Linked DNA regions of Mytilus edulis. The protein of the gene in region 2 purifies or fractionates together with the protein of the main gene of each other region. This does not show direct contact. Links are inferred from orthologs where the notes say so. Each region holds a gene or a part of one and is shown on either strand. Other genes may lie near its edges.

The links. Proteins that work in one complex are often made in the same cells at the same time.
Region 1: the proteins of ubiquitin thioesterase Zranb1-like (region 2) and sarcolemmal membrane-associated protein-like purify together in Homo sapiens (affinity purification with mass spectrometry; 3 studies listed by BioGRID and IntAct, with this or other methods). This does not show direct contact. The link is inferred for Mytilus edulis from reciprocal best matches to the Homo sapiens genes ZRANB1 and SLMAP.

Annotation. Positions count from the first base shown.
Region 1 is NC_092344.1:98,980,893-98,988,005, forward strand, and holds the start of sarcolemmal membrane-associated protein-like, read right to left. Parts: upstream 3,041-7,113; 5' UTR 2,967-3,040; intron 1,466-2,966; 5' UTR 1,436-1,465; coding exon 1,247-1,435; intron 1-1,246. Other genes in the region: protein DENND6A-like, read left to right, coding at 3,206-3,361. UniProt on the Homo sapiens protein: Associates with the striatin-interacting phosphatase and kinase (STRIPAK) core complex, forming the extended (SIKE1:SLMAP)STRIPAK complex.
Region 2 is NC_092347.1:53,331,640-53,338,567, reverse strand, and holds the start of ubiquitin thioesterase Zranb1-like, read left to right. Parts: upstream 1-3,854; 5' UTR 3,855-3,985; exon of another isoform or gene 3,986-3,998; intron 3,999-6,928. UniProt on the Homo sapiens protein: Ubiquitin thioesterase, which specifically hydrolyzes 'Lys-29'-linked and 'Lys-33'-linked diubiquitin. Also cleaves 'Lys-63'-linked chains, but with 40-fold less efficiency compared to 'Lys-29'-linked ones.

The DNA.
Region 1 (7,113 bases), on a different chromosome or scaffold from region 2:
CAGCATCAAGTCTTTTTACAATTGGACAGCTTTCTCAATTTATTGGGAAAAAATAAAATAATGAAAGTTACTATAAATGTAAAGATTAAATGGGACATACAGGATAATTATAATTCATCATAAGCAAACACTTTGTCAATATCAATATTAATTTGACCATAATTGTATTAAATATCAAATTTTAAACCAATATTGCTAGTTATTTCTGGTATGTATTGATTGGCCAATTTATAAATCAGTATGCCTGATATTGGCTTTACTGACAAATACAGTAATTCTCTTATCACTATTTTGTATTCTCCTATTCATACATTTATGTTATATTAAAGAGTGGCAGCCAGAGTTTAATTTGATAGGTACATGTATTTTCTTATCTTAGTCTGAAATAACAATTTAAAAATTCTGTTTTTAGCTTTTAATAAGTCAATTCAATTCAATTAATATTTATAAGTCATTCAATTTCACATAATATTAGATTCACACAATTTGACATCGCAAGATCAAATGATTATCATTATGTTATACCTGCTTTAGAAAGATCAAAGAATCATCATTTGACATTGATCTTTAACCTACAAGCTGTACATTTCATACCGCTATCCTATTCTGCTTGCTTGTATTCAATTGAAAAAAGTTTGAAAACGATTGGACACAATAGAAAAGACGCTATTGAATGCTCTGCAATGCTTGCAAGAATTTCTATACTACTAGGGACCTTGACCATAAACCTAGGACCACACAATTTTAAAATAGGTGTTCCTTCAAAGTCACTGATTTAATTTTGAAGATTTTGGTGTATGTATATACCACTAAGTGCCTACAAGCCTTTTTAATGGTACCACAAGAAAACCTAAACCTAGTGCCTCTGATTTGATATTACATAATTAATACATGTTTATTTCATAAGTATTGTGTCATATAAGGTTACAGTAAGCGGTAATCTATACACCAACTACAGTACATACACACACCTTCAATCCATTGTGGGACTTTTGAATTCCATGTATGAATTTATGACCATCACATTAAATAAAGTTTCAAGCTCTAGAAAGATGGATAAAGATTGGCTTAGCATAATGATGCATACAAGAATGTTACTGAGGGTACAATTGTTTATATACTGATGGTAATATATAAGCATTATCAAATACCTTTCACACCAAGTAAGGGAATGCAGTGTATGAACACATGTTTTGTAAACCAAGCACACAAGAACTGCAAATACATCATATACATATATACTTACTGTGCCATTCTCATACCAAAGCATGGCATGATTTCTGGATAAAACTTTGCAATCAAATATGCCATTGTTGTTTGCCGGTCTAGCTCTTGCTACAGATCTGCCAATCTTGACTGGTTCATGAAGCGAAATATGTCGCTCACGAAATGGATGTGAATTTGGCTGACAGGACAAAATAGCCACTGCAGACATGGCTGACTTATGCTAACCTCTTCCTTTATCCTAAAATTATACAAGATATAATAGAGCCTGAACTGAGAAAACTTCATTTTTTTTAATTCTTATACCGGTAATAGTTAATCTTCTATCTTCTTCTGTATAGGACCAATTGAGCAACTAATGTATTGTATATTTATTCTCAGAAGTCCTTAATATTGCATGGAATACTTGCCACTGAGTATTGAGAAGAAAACAAGTTATCAAACAATATCAACAGATTTTAAAGATTTAAGTGTATGGTAATTTATACAGTGTGTACTTCATCTTAGAAAATGAAAAAGAATTATCATTGATTCAAGTTTATTTCAATGTACAATACAATGTAGACATTAGAAAATAGTTTTAGAGAATTTCTTCTCGTTTTTCTGGGGTTTTTTTTAATTATTTTTGCAAACATTTCTCTACAATTTTAGGCAATTAGTGGTCAACAAATTAATAATAAACCAGATTCAATAACAAATTAAATGAATATGGATAATAATGTTTATAAAATTTCTTGCCTAGCCTACCAAAACAAGGCGTAGATTGAAAATTTTAATCCGAACCTTTTGATACTCTACTACAAGAAGAAGTTCGGCTGCTCAGAGTTTTATTTACTCATATTTGTACAAACATTGTTTTTAATTTTTATTTTCATTGGGTGCCAATGTTTGTTTATATAACTATTTCAAGATTTTTCACAGTATTTATCAATCATAACAATATCAAATAAGGTAACAGATCACAAGGGTAATATAATTTAGTATTTCAGAGGTGGTTACAATCAGTTAAGCATTTCACTAGACAAAATTAAAACAAAAGCGTGTATAAAGCTAGTTTACATTCTTTTTTTAAGACAAGAAAGATAAAAAATATTATATCTCAAGGTTAAAAGTTGAATTTTTAAATGATGTTGACATATTAAAAATACGTTGATAACAATCTTAGAGCAATAATTTTCAATTAACTTTTCATATTTAAAAAAATATTTTCAGGATAATTACTGCTACATTGACACTGGAAAAATTATGAATTGCGGGGAAACGCTGTTCTACAGAGAGGCAAAAGATTTGCAACGTCACAGATGTGAAACGTCAAGATGCTTTTTAAACAACAAAACAAGAAAAAAACTCAGCAGCAAGAAGTTAAATAACAACACATTTTGGTGTTGACAAAAAAGACAGTATTCACTTCCCTCAGTTCCCAGAAAGAAAATATTTCTGGACAGTAATACCATCACATCTTTCTATATAATTCAAGCAAAACCTAAACAGGAATACATTAGGAACATGTTTATTAGTCATTCTAACTGAAAATATTTGTTATTGAAATTATACTGAATAGTCTGAGTTATAGGGAAGCACCTTACCATAACATTTCGTGTAAGGGTTTATTTCACCAGTTCGAGACAATAATAATAGATGTATCATGTTGAAACTAAATATTTATTCACCTATGTTCATTATTTATCTATCTAAAATTTCTAAAAACAACTAAAACATATCGAAATAAACTGATATCTTACCATTCATTTTCTTCTTTCCTTTCAGGAGACTGCAGCCATCTTAAAATTTTAGTGTGATTTAATCTCTAAAGAATATTATTCTTATAATCTTTGTAAAAGTAAATTATTAATACTAGGTTATACAAAATAAATATAAATTATTAGTCTTTTAGTAATTTTTTAATGAAACAGAAGAACTTAAAATAATTGATTTTTGATTCGAGACTAACAACAATAAAGGTGAAGGACACCTGCCGAAAATGGCAGGAACGAAAGAAGAACCTGTTTTCCATCGAGAAAAATCGCCAGATGATGGCCCACAGTCACCCACTATGTTACCATGGGACAGATTTTCAAATTGGTTATATTGTGCTTGTGTTGTTACGTTTGACCTAGAATTAGGTCAGGCCATGGAGGTATGGGAAACCCAGTATCGTTGGACTTTTCGATTTATAAATACAGCTGCTGATAGAAAAAAAATAAACATTAGTACCGATTTCAGTGAACTCGATGCTCGATTGTATGTGTTTATAATCCTCCTTTCTCAGTAACACCATCGTGAGAATAGCGAACATACTTGAAAGGAAAAATATTTAACTCATTGACACTGTATTTGCACTAAATAAACAAAGAAAAATTGTAAAAATTGATAAAATAACAAATATTTAACATAACAAAACTATGACAAACTATGATTAACCATTTAGTTTTAATGCATTACATAATAAAAAATAAATAAATAAGATTTATTTAGAGTTGGCAAGGTATACAAAGTTGAAACATAGACAAAATAAGCTGTAATGAGCTTTTAACTGACATATGAAACATTTTTAACAATACAACATCTATAACAATACAACACATAATACACATGCAATAAATTTCACAGCACAAAAATGAAGCACTAAAAGCAGAATATAAGCATAAGCTAGGTATTAAAGCTATAAGCATATAGGTGTAAACTAGGCATAAAAGCTGGCAAAATGTATAGCATAAAATATTTAAAACAGGGTATGATCTACATGTAGATGACAGATCTGCACAAACTGTGTACTTACAGTCATTTCCCTTCCATGACTTCAAAATATTTTGGAACTGACTAAAATTAGCAATTTTTCTAAAATCATCAGGTAGATCATTCCATAAAACAGCAGCTGTGTATTTAAAAGAATTCTTACCATAGGTTGATGTTCGGACCCTAGGTATATCTACAATATTAGAATATCTAAAATTATATTTACAATCTTTCAATACAACTTTTAAAACACTCAATAGCCATGTTACGCATACATTTGTACGTCTTATTTTCAGTGATGGAACCTTTGCTTGTAAAAGTAGTCCATCATATGAACATAGTCTTCATATATAAATCGTAAAGCCCTTTCCTGAATTTTTTCCAATTTGGTGGTGTTATTTTTGTTGCAAAAATGCCATGCCAAAGGACAAAAAATAAATGTGTGGAAAATGGTCAATTTATTCAATTTTGTAATTTAGCAGCCAATGCGCTTTAAAACATTCAGTTGTTGGGATGCTTTACAACAAATATTTTTAATGTGGTGATTAAAATTAAGTTGATAGTCAATATCAATACCTGAAAGTTTGACAATCTCATTACAGGATATTTTTGCTGACTGTATATTAAAAACAGGCTTTTTTGCAAATGTTTTATTTCCAACTGCAATGGCTTGGAATTTATCAGGATTTGCCTGCATACAATTAAATCTAAACCAGTCAATTAAAACAGCATTTTCTCTTTCAAGTGTACATAATAAATTTTCAAAATTGTTGTCAGCATATGACAGAGTATTATCATCGGCATAATTATACAGGGTACCATGTTCAATAAAATAGAATATGTCATTTATAAAAATATTAAATAATAGGGCCCCAGGATTGAGCCTTGGGGTACCCGTTTCTGGATGTCAGTCCAACTGCTGAGTACTCCCTGAAGTTTGATTTGTTGCCTATGATCTGTAAGATAATTTTGAAGTAATTTCACTGATTTAGAAGAAAGACCATAGGCAGATAATTTACTTAAAAGAATATCATGTGGTAAACAGTCAAAAGCTTTCGAAAGATCCATTAGAAAAGCTGCCACATACATATTTTTATCCAAAGCTGTTTTCAAATCTTCAAGAATCTCAACAAAGTTGTCTGACATCAATGGCCTTTTCTGAATGCACATAAAAAAGCATGAAATATATTTTCAAAAAATTCACAAATTTGATTTTTTTACCAGGCATGTGCTGGAAAGCAAACATCAGTATGTGTTGTGGTTTTCTGAAACTGAAGAAGACTTTCAAATTTGTGCACTTTCTGTAAATTTTGTCACAATGATTAAATTATCGTAAGTCTGTTCGCTCCCTTAAACATTCACCTCCTGGGTTTGTTTGCACAAAATTAATATTCAAATGCAGTTAATTACTAGAGGAGGTTTCAGCCACACAGCCTTATTGGCCACAGTTGTTTTGGCTATACCCCTAATTCAGTTAATTACTAGAGGAGGTTTCAGCCACACAGCCTTATTGGCCACAGTTGTTTTGGCTATACCCCTAATTCAGTTAATTACTAGAGGAGGTTTCAGCCACACAGCCTTATTGGCCACAGTTGTTTTGGCTATACCCCTAATTCAGTAACACTTAGCTAATGGTTCTGCCATGGGTTTTTATGCCCCACCTACGATAGTAGAGGGGCATTATGTTTTCTGGTCTGTGCGTCTGTCCGTTCGTCCGTCCGTCTGTCCCGCTTCAGGTTAAAGTTTTTGGTCAAGGTAGTTTTTGATGAAGTTTAAGTCCAATCGACTTCAAACTTAGTACACATGTCCCCTATGATATGATCTTTCTAATTTTAATGCCAAATTAGAGTTTTTACCCCAATTTCACAGTCCACTGAACATGGAAAATGATAGTGCGAGTGGGGCATTCGTGTACTGAGGACACATTCTTGTTTTTATTGTTATAAAGGGAGGAAGATATAATTGAATAATTACATTAGATGTATGTTTCATTATAATATTTTATTCTGATTGGCTAACTGCACATCACGTGTTATTCCGTAAGCAGTTGCAATGCTCAATACAACTTTTCATTCATGATAACATGTGCTCCAACAATAAAGTGCACAGGTGAATTAAATAATAAAATATATAAAATTCGTGTTTTCATAATCATAGCTAAAAAATGTAATTATAAGTATTGAATGCTTCTTTTTGTAACTTTATAGGGTTGTAAAAGCGTTGACCGTGCGTACATTTTTAGAATGAAGCGCGGATTGACTGTGCGTACATTTTTAGAATGAAGCGCCTCCGCGCTTCATACAAAATGTACTTCCGTCAACGCTTTTACACCCCAATAAATTTACAAAAAGAAGCATTCAATTCTTAATTATTAAATCAGGAAAAAGTCATGAACTGATAGCAAGTTTGTAAAGTGTATCAGATTCTACTGATGAAAGCTCAAGTTGGAGCTAATATGTTTAGATAACTCATGTCAGTACACCATTTCTATATTGCCTACTGGATTGCTAATTTGTAATTCATGAACATTTTTAAATTATTTTACAGCCATTGCTATGCCGATGAGAAACTTCATATTGTTGATGGTTAGGCCACACCAATTTGATTCCTTGTTCGACGGACCCGCCCGCACCTATTTTTTTCAAAACAGAATTTTTTTATTTTTTTTATATTCCCGCTTCCCGCATCTGGAAATGTAATCTTGTCCATATGAATATTTGTTTCAGCATGAAACCTATTTATCCAAAGCGGGAGTGCTCCATAATAAATTTATAAGAGCAGAAATACCTGTAAAGAACAAAAAATTGGTTACTTTCCCCCTTACTTATATTCCCTATCAAAAAAATTTCGTTGTTAGAATAAAGTACAAAGAACTTCTGACGGATTTGCCTTCAACTGCAATTATATTGTATGCTGGCGAAACAAAACTATCCATAACCGCTGCATGTTTATGCACCTGTCCTGATTGATCGAGGGGCCTGTCGTTCAGCAGTTATCGTTTGTTGATGTTGTTCATTGGTATTTTCCCGTTTGGATATACATGATATATAAATTAGATCGTTGGTTTTCCTGTTTGAATTGTGTACGCTAATAATTTTGGGATCCTTTATAGCCTGCTGTTTGGTCTGTATCAAAGCCCTGTGTAAAAGGCCG
Region 2 (6,928 bases):
AAATGTGATCATCAACAATTTTATTTCACAATATATATGCATTAATCCAAATTCACATCCATTCGTACGGTCTCAATAGAAGAATTTCCCGCGGAAATGTCATGTGATATAAACATGGAATTGTTCACACCGATACACTAAATACGTAGAAAAAGAATTGTGGACACAGCAATAAGATCAGATTTAAGACCCTCATGAGCTCGGTGTTAACTAAAAAATAAGTAAAAATCAATTATTTAATAAATGTGCTCGATTAACCTTAATTTTTGAAGTTTAAAATTTGCGTCTATCGAGTGAACCTTTAGTCTTTGGTCTTTAGAAGTGTCAACTTGACACTATAATCTCTATCTGTAATTTAGATCACTCTGGTAATTTTATGTCGCTATTGTATAAAACTCATTAGTACATTTGTATTTATGATGTGGCACTGCAGAAAGAAAAAAAAATCCTTAGGGCGCACTACGTTTGCGCGCATTTGGGGATTAAATATTTACGTTATAAATAATTGAACAAATTAATAAATAATAAGTATTATGACCTGTATAATATTTTACCTGATTTTACCTGTCAAAAAATGCGCGCAAATGTAAGCAAAAGCTGCGCGCAAACGTAATGATTTTTGCGCGCAAATGTAATGGTAATGCACGCAAACGTAATGCACCGATTCCTTAAACGCCAACATAATTTTACAGGTAAATTGTCGGTAGATCAAAGGATGTTGGCTTTCAAGGGATAAACCGGCCTGTGTGTTTTTCTTGACTAATGTTTCTAATTAACTTTAAGTTTTCAGTGTTCAATATATGGTCTATCGTTTGCAGTTATGTGTCTTATCTGTACCCGGGTTTGTCTTTTTTTATTTATTGTCCTACTTTATGACTATAGTCTAAGTGTTGATTTTTGTTTGAAAATCTAGAAATTTTGTTTTAAGCTTGCGTTTATTATACCTTTCGTCTACTAGTTATTAAAAAAAAACTTCGAATCATTAAATTGTAAGAATATTTGAAATTAGCTATGGCATCAAATCATTTGGAAAAAAAACAATGTATTGCAATATGACCTTTTGCATTGAAGGATTAAACTTGCATTAAGTCGTGTGCAGACCCTTTATACGGTAATAAAAACTAAAGGAGTATTGAGTAAACTTGCATACGGGACTTAATCGAACACAAACCCAATACTAGTACATAGAAAAATACAAATTTTCAATGGTCATTTTTTTTTTCCTGTTCTTCATCTTGATAGTCGCTGGAGTGTCTTCAACATGAAAGAACCATTAATACCATAAAACAAAGCCAAGATGGTCCCTATATATATATACAGTGTCGACTTGAGCGGTACTTAAAGTAAATTACTTTAATACTTCACTGTCACAAGGACGTATATTGTTAGTTATACGTCCTTGACTGTCACTATATGAAAATGTTGTCCTAAAAAATCACCAAAGTCTAAACATAATACAAGACAAGAACAGACTGAATCGGTATTAATGATTTTGAGGAAAACGATTTTTGCCTTATCCTACATATCGGTCTTTTGAGTTTCTCCCTAAAACCTAAATATCTTAAATCATATTGATTCTATATAATTTGCTTTGAGACCAGAACATTGTTGAAAATAGCTAAAAATTAAATACTTTTCAGAGTAAGAAAGAGTCTGGGAAACGCTCAAAATGCACGATTTAGCTTCTTTTTTTTTTGGATCGAGCTTCTTGGGGCCTTGAACGAATATATTTTGCCTCACTTGTAAAAGAGTCTAGTGATGTTTGTATTTATCAAAGTTGTAGTAAAAATCAGGCCGAAGGTATACATTTTTTAATCATTTACATTTTTATAATTAGTATTCGTTATCATGTGATTTTGCTCGTTGTTGAAGGTCGGATAAAGGTTTTAAATCAAATTTTTATGGACTTTGATCCACTTTTTAACTTCCACCCTGACGTGCCATATAAGCTGTTGGTATGCTGTTGCACCTACCGCACGTAAACTTTCACAGTCATCGTCTTTTTTGAAATATTTTACCCAATTAATACGTGATAAGATTATTATCCTAGTAACCAATGTATTGAACATAAGTTCAAAAAATTCCTCAATACTATATTCATTTTGTTTGTCAATATTTTTTAGGCAAAACAAAACAAAACTGCAAAAAAATCGAACACAAGAGAGATTTTTTTTCTGCAAATGTCATGATTATCTGTCCATTTCTAGATCTATGCTTAGTATTTATTTCACTGAGATGACATGGCAGTTTTCACACCCTGGTGACCCTGCTGTTTTTCATTATTATATTCATATACATATAAAAATAAACAAAATGAAGGAAGCTGTGTAGGTCAAAATCTTATCATTTGCTGATAAATGTTGCTGGACCAAGTTTCGTGATCTAATATGAATTTTCTGAAAAATGCAAGGTAGATAGACATTGGCCTGTTGAATGTTTTACTCGGTAACTCACTCACTGATCCTCTTTGTGCCTGTCAGCACATAAGGCCTCAACCAGTACGGGTCACATTTGCCTGCCTTTTGCCTTCTTCTCGATCTCCTTCCATGTTTTCCCAAAGTGTTTCATCTCTGGTAAGTTTTGCTCTAGCTGCTTGAACGTTTGCGATAAAAACAAAAATTCGAACACACAGTGGTCATGTTTGTTGATTAATCTTGAAAATTCAATTGGTAAAATTTGGTCAAGTAATTTCAGAGAAGATCTTTTTTTTTTATAACGGACGCCAAGTCAATACATGAAGCTATAACTCACGCGGCCCCTCAACACAGGTGAGGTTATAGCGAAACGGGTTGATAACCAGTTGAAATTAAACCAGTTTTAGTAATAAAAGTTTGTACATTGGAATCGTTTTAAACTGTTATGGCCAAAAGTTTCAGAGACATTCTCTGTATTAAAGCATCAAAATGGGTTGGCCACGACTATCTGCAGACTTTATTCATTTTATGTATATTAGTTGACTGTTGTATGAAACTTTGAAAAATAAGTCTAGTTTTGTATAAATGTGTCCTTGGTTACCATAGCAACTACATCAACATTTGGTATAATTCAACTGGGTTAATGTTGAGAAAATTGCAATTTTACGTACTTATAGTCGCCGTCTGGATAGAAACAATTTGTATGATATTTAAAAGCACTTGATTATTTTAATTGTTCAATCATTTATGTTTAAAATGGTATAGTATAGTATTTCCGAATCAGTTATATTAGGAGGGAAACACACTATTTGGAGAAATGTTTTAAAATTTCAGAAAATTATAAGGGTTTTTTGAGGGAGTTAAATGATATAGAGAGGGGTGCTCATATTCGCCGGGGACACAATTTCGCCGTTTTATGATTTTGAGGTGCAAAAACTTCAAAGGATGGGTGAAATGGAAGAAATATGCCGGTAAATTATATCATTATAACAAATATTAGTATTTTTTAAACTAAGACAAAATTTCGGCACTTACAGAAAAGGACCGAAAAACAGACAACGATTTTCAGCCAATTTCCTGAATGAAAAAAAATATTTCAAAGAAGTATTTCCTAGTAATTCTTTGACTGATTGCCCTAAATATCAGTTCTTTACACATTTGAAATGTTTGCTATTTATCTATAATGAATTTGATTTGATAAATATTGTTTAAAGCTGCAGTTATTTGGTTTTAAATAGATGTGTAAAAATGGCGAATATGTGTCCCCCATTGACAAAATATCAGGCAATTTCAAACACCCTTTAATCTTACTTTAATGATGGTAGTAATATTGAAAATATTTAAATATTACTTCCATGTCAGCTCACATGTCAGTGTCTTCGACGTGGTATTTTAATCGTAGTCTGTTAGTGCTTGATTTCGTTTCGTAAAATATTGACTGATTCGATTGTTTAGGATTCGTTATATATATTCACCAATCGTAGACCTCCACTGCACTTTGTTATTGTTTTCATGTGTGTTTAAAAACAAACAGATGATGTGAAAAAATAAGACGTTAAAGAGTCATTTTGGTATGAACAATCGGTAATGATAAATTAAGAAAATGATGCGTTTGATGGCGAAAACGCAGTCAGTCCAATATGTACTCTGACTCAATTACACGATTGGTGACTGATGAAGTGTTATAAATTTGTGTATCCTCATGTTGTATGTAGATGATGACTTCGATAGTAACTGTACGCATAATTTTTTAAGGTCCGTCTACATTGCTTACAAACGACTGTTATACTTAGATCTGTAATAATTCACATTCTTGTTTACCTCAGACTCAAATGTGCAGGTTTGCATCCAGGATGTCAAGATAATTAAGATACAGACTTACTAGTCCAAATAATAATGACGTCTTGAAAGGTTTTTATAATTTTTTTCTTTGACGCCTTACTTCGAGACGTCAAAATTATTTGGACTACAGACTTACAGTACCTGGCCAAAAGTATTCGTCACCTGCTTTTAAAAAAAACGTAACATGGTCAAAAACACAATACGAGACAATATATTTCATGTAAGGGAACAGTCATTATTTATCAACTGAGGGGGTCGGTGCATTTTAGGGGGGGGTCATTGCCAAAAATATCATACCACTGGGGGGGTTACCATCAAAAAATATTTTAACTAGGGGGGTCACTCAATAAAGGTGCTTATGTCTGACTTGTATATAAATTGTTGACAAAATTGAAGTGAGTGTGCGATCTGTGAAATAATGTCTGTTTATTAAATCTTTGATAGTGTAAACTGTAAAGCACCATGCAGAAGAATATGCGTAATTTCTCAAGGGCAGTGAATCTGATCACTCCTTATCACAGTTGTGTAAATTTATAATCAATAAATTAACAACTCTATGAAACGTTTCTCCCTAGTTTTGACCACAGGAAACAGTGAGTTGGAAAGGTTTCTGGACATGCATACTTCACTTTCTATAGTCATGATAGTGTTTAACAAAAATCATTTTGATGTGATTCTTGAGATGAAATGGTGTGTACATATGATTATTTTGATGAAAGCAAGGATGCATGTTTAACTTAGTTATATGTCCGTCACGTGGTAATAGGTATACTTATTTTATGAAATTATTACAAAGATATCGATTAAGAATAAAATATGATCTCGATATTATAGGTATATCCCTTCTGTATTCTTTAATTTTTCAGGTAATAATTTTCTATTCGTTAAAGTCATATGAAACCTCAAATTAAAAAAAAATATGCATCTGTTTTTTATAACTAAATGGATAGTTTTCATTATAAAACTTTTGTACATATACTTTTTCTGAGGAAAATTCTTTAATTTGTCCACATTTAGAAGAAGTTTACTTATTTTAAATTGCTTGCTTCCAGGAAGCAATTCGCCGACATATTTTCCGTATGCATAGTGACCCGAGCGTAACCCTCCTCGTAAAAATCCGGTGATCGCAATACGCATGAATCTGTCATTAAAATAAACAATTATCTGATTGTACATCTTAAACACGTGCTCAATACCCATGCTTTTTGTTATTTATTTACTATAAGGTGACAATCCACTTCGGCTTCAAAACACGGCATTTAATGAGCAGCCATATTTGTTAAATCATAACAGACAGAGAGAAAAAAAAATTGACGATTATACGATATATTTGCGTAAATAATGATAAAATCGTGCACAGAGGACTTAGTTTATTTTTCACCACTCACTCGTTTCATATGACTTTAATTAGTATTTTTTGCCCTTTTCTCCTTTTATTCATATCTGAACACCAGTGTTCTCTGTTCTTTTTTTATTTTATTTTTTGGTCCATTTTTCTGTAAATTTTATCCATTCTCCGATATTCTTTCCTATCCAGATTTCAGACCTTAATAAAAAAAAAACTTGATGGGCACCATGGTATTCACACACACTAAACAATACACTATATAATTTGGAAAAAGAACAAATATAATTAGCTGGGGCCCCTAAACAAAAATGTGTACTTGTTCAGAGAAAATTGATAACACACTAAACTCTTAAAACATACATCTGTACAAAACAAAGAAAGCCCAGAGGTTCCTGGCTTGGTTGTATTATACAATTACTGTCTTTTGATGAGGTAAATATGCGGTTTTATTGACTTTTGAAAAATGATATTCACTAAGGCCGAAGGCCGAAGTGAATATCAGTTTTTCAAAAGTCAATTAAACCCCATATTTACCGAAACAAAAGACAGTAATTGTTTTATTCCATATTCCGAGAGAAGAACATGTATTTAAAGAATAACCTATACCAAAACAAATTTTACATGAAACATTTAACCGTAACGTTGCATGTAAAAGCGCGTGACGTTTAGCGCGGTGAATAACACTTTCTCGGGTGAATATGCTGTTTTATTCAAAATCCAATTCATATAGAGAAACCTACTAATATAATACCAATATGGAATAAATTTCTTTATCTCAAATAAATCATTTACATATTTAATCAAGAAAGGACAAGAACCATTTAATCGGTGTTATTTTATTTGCACTTCCTAAATCATTTGTACATTGGAATCCTGAACCCCCCCCCCCCCCCCCCCCCCCATTCATAACTAGCTATTTTAAAGTTCAAAGGTTAAAAAAAATAAGATACAAGGGCCTGTGATTGGGATTAAAATAACAGTCAGTATTGAAAGTTTATCTACCAGTATACTGATAAAATTTGTAGAATTATAGGTTGCAGTAAAATAAATTAATAAATTGGAACATACAATTTTCTGTATATTTTTTTTTCTATTTTTCTTCATGCACGTGTCAGATATTCCTTTTAAAAAAAAACAAGAAGAAAAGCTGTTTGTTATACTTAGAGCTTCTCAAAGCCAGGTTACTATGTAGCTGGTCATTATCTCCTCAACACAACTGTGAATTCTTTTTTTTATGGGGGATGGGGGGGGGGGTCAAACTTTTGAAATTATTTTCTTAGGGGGGGTCATTATGTGGTTTTATAAAATAATGGGGGGGTTACCA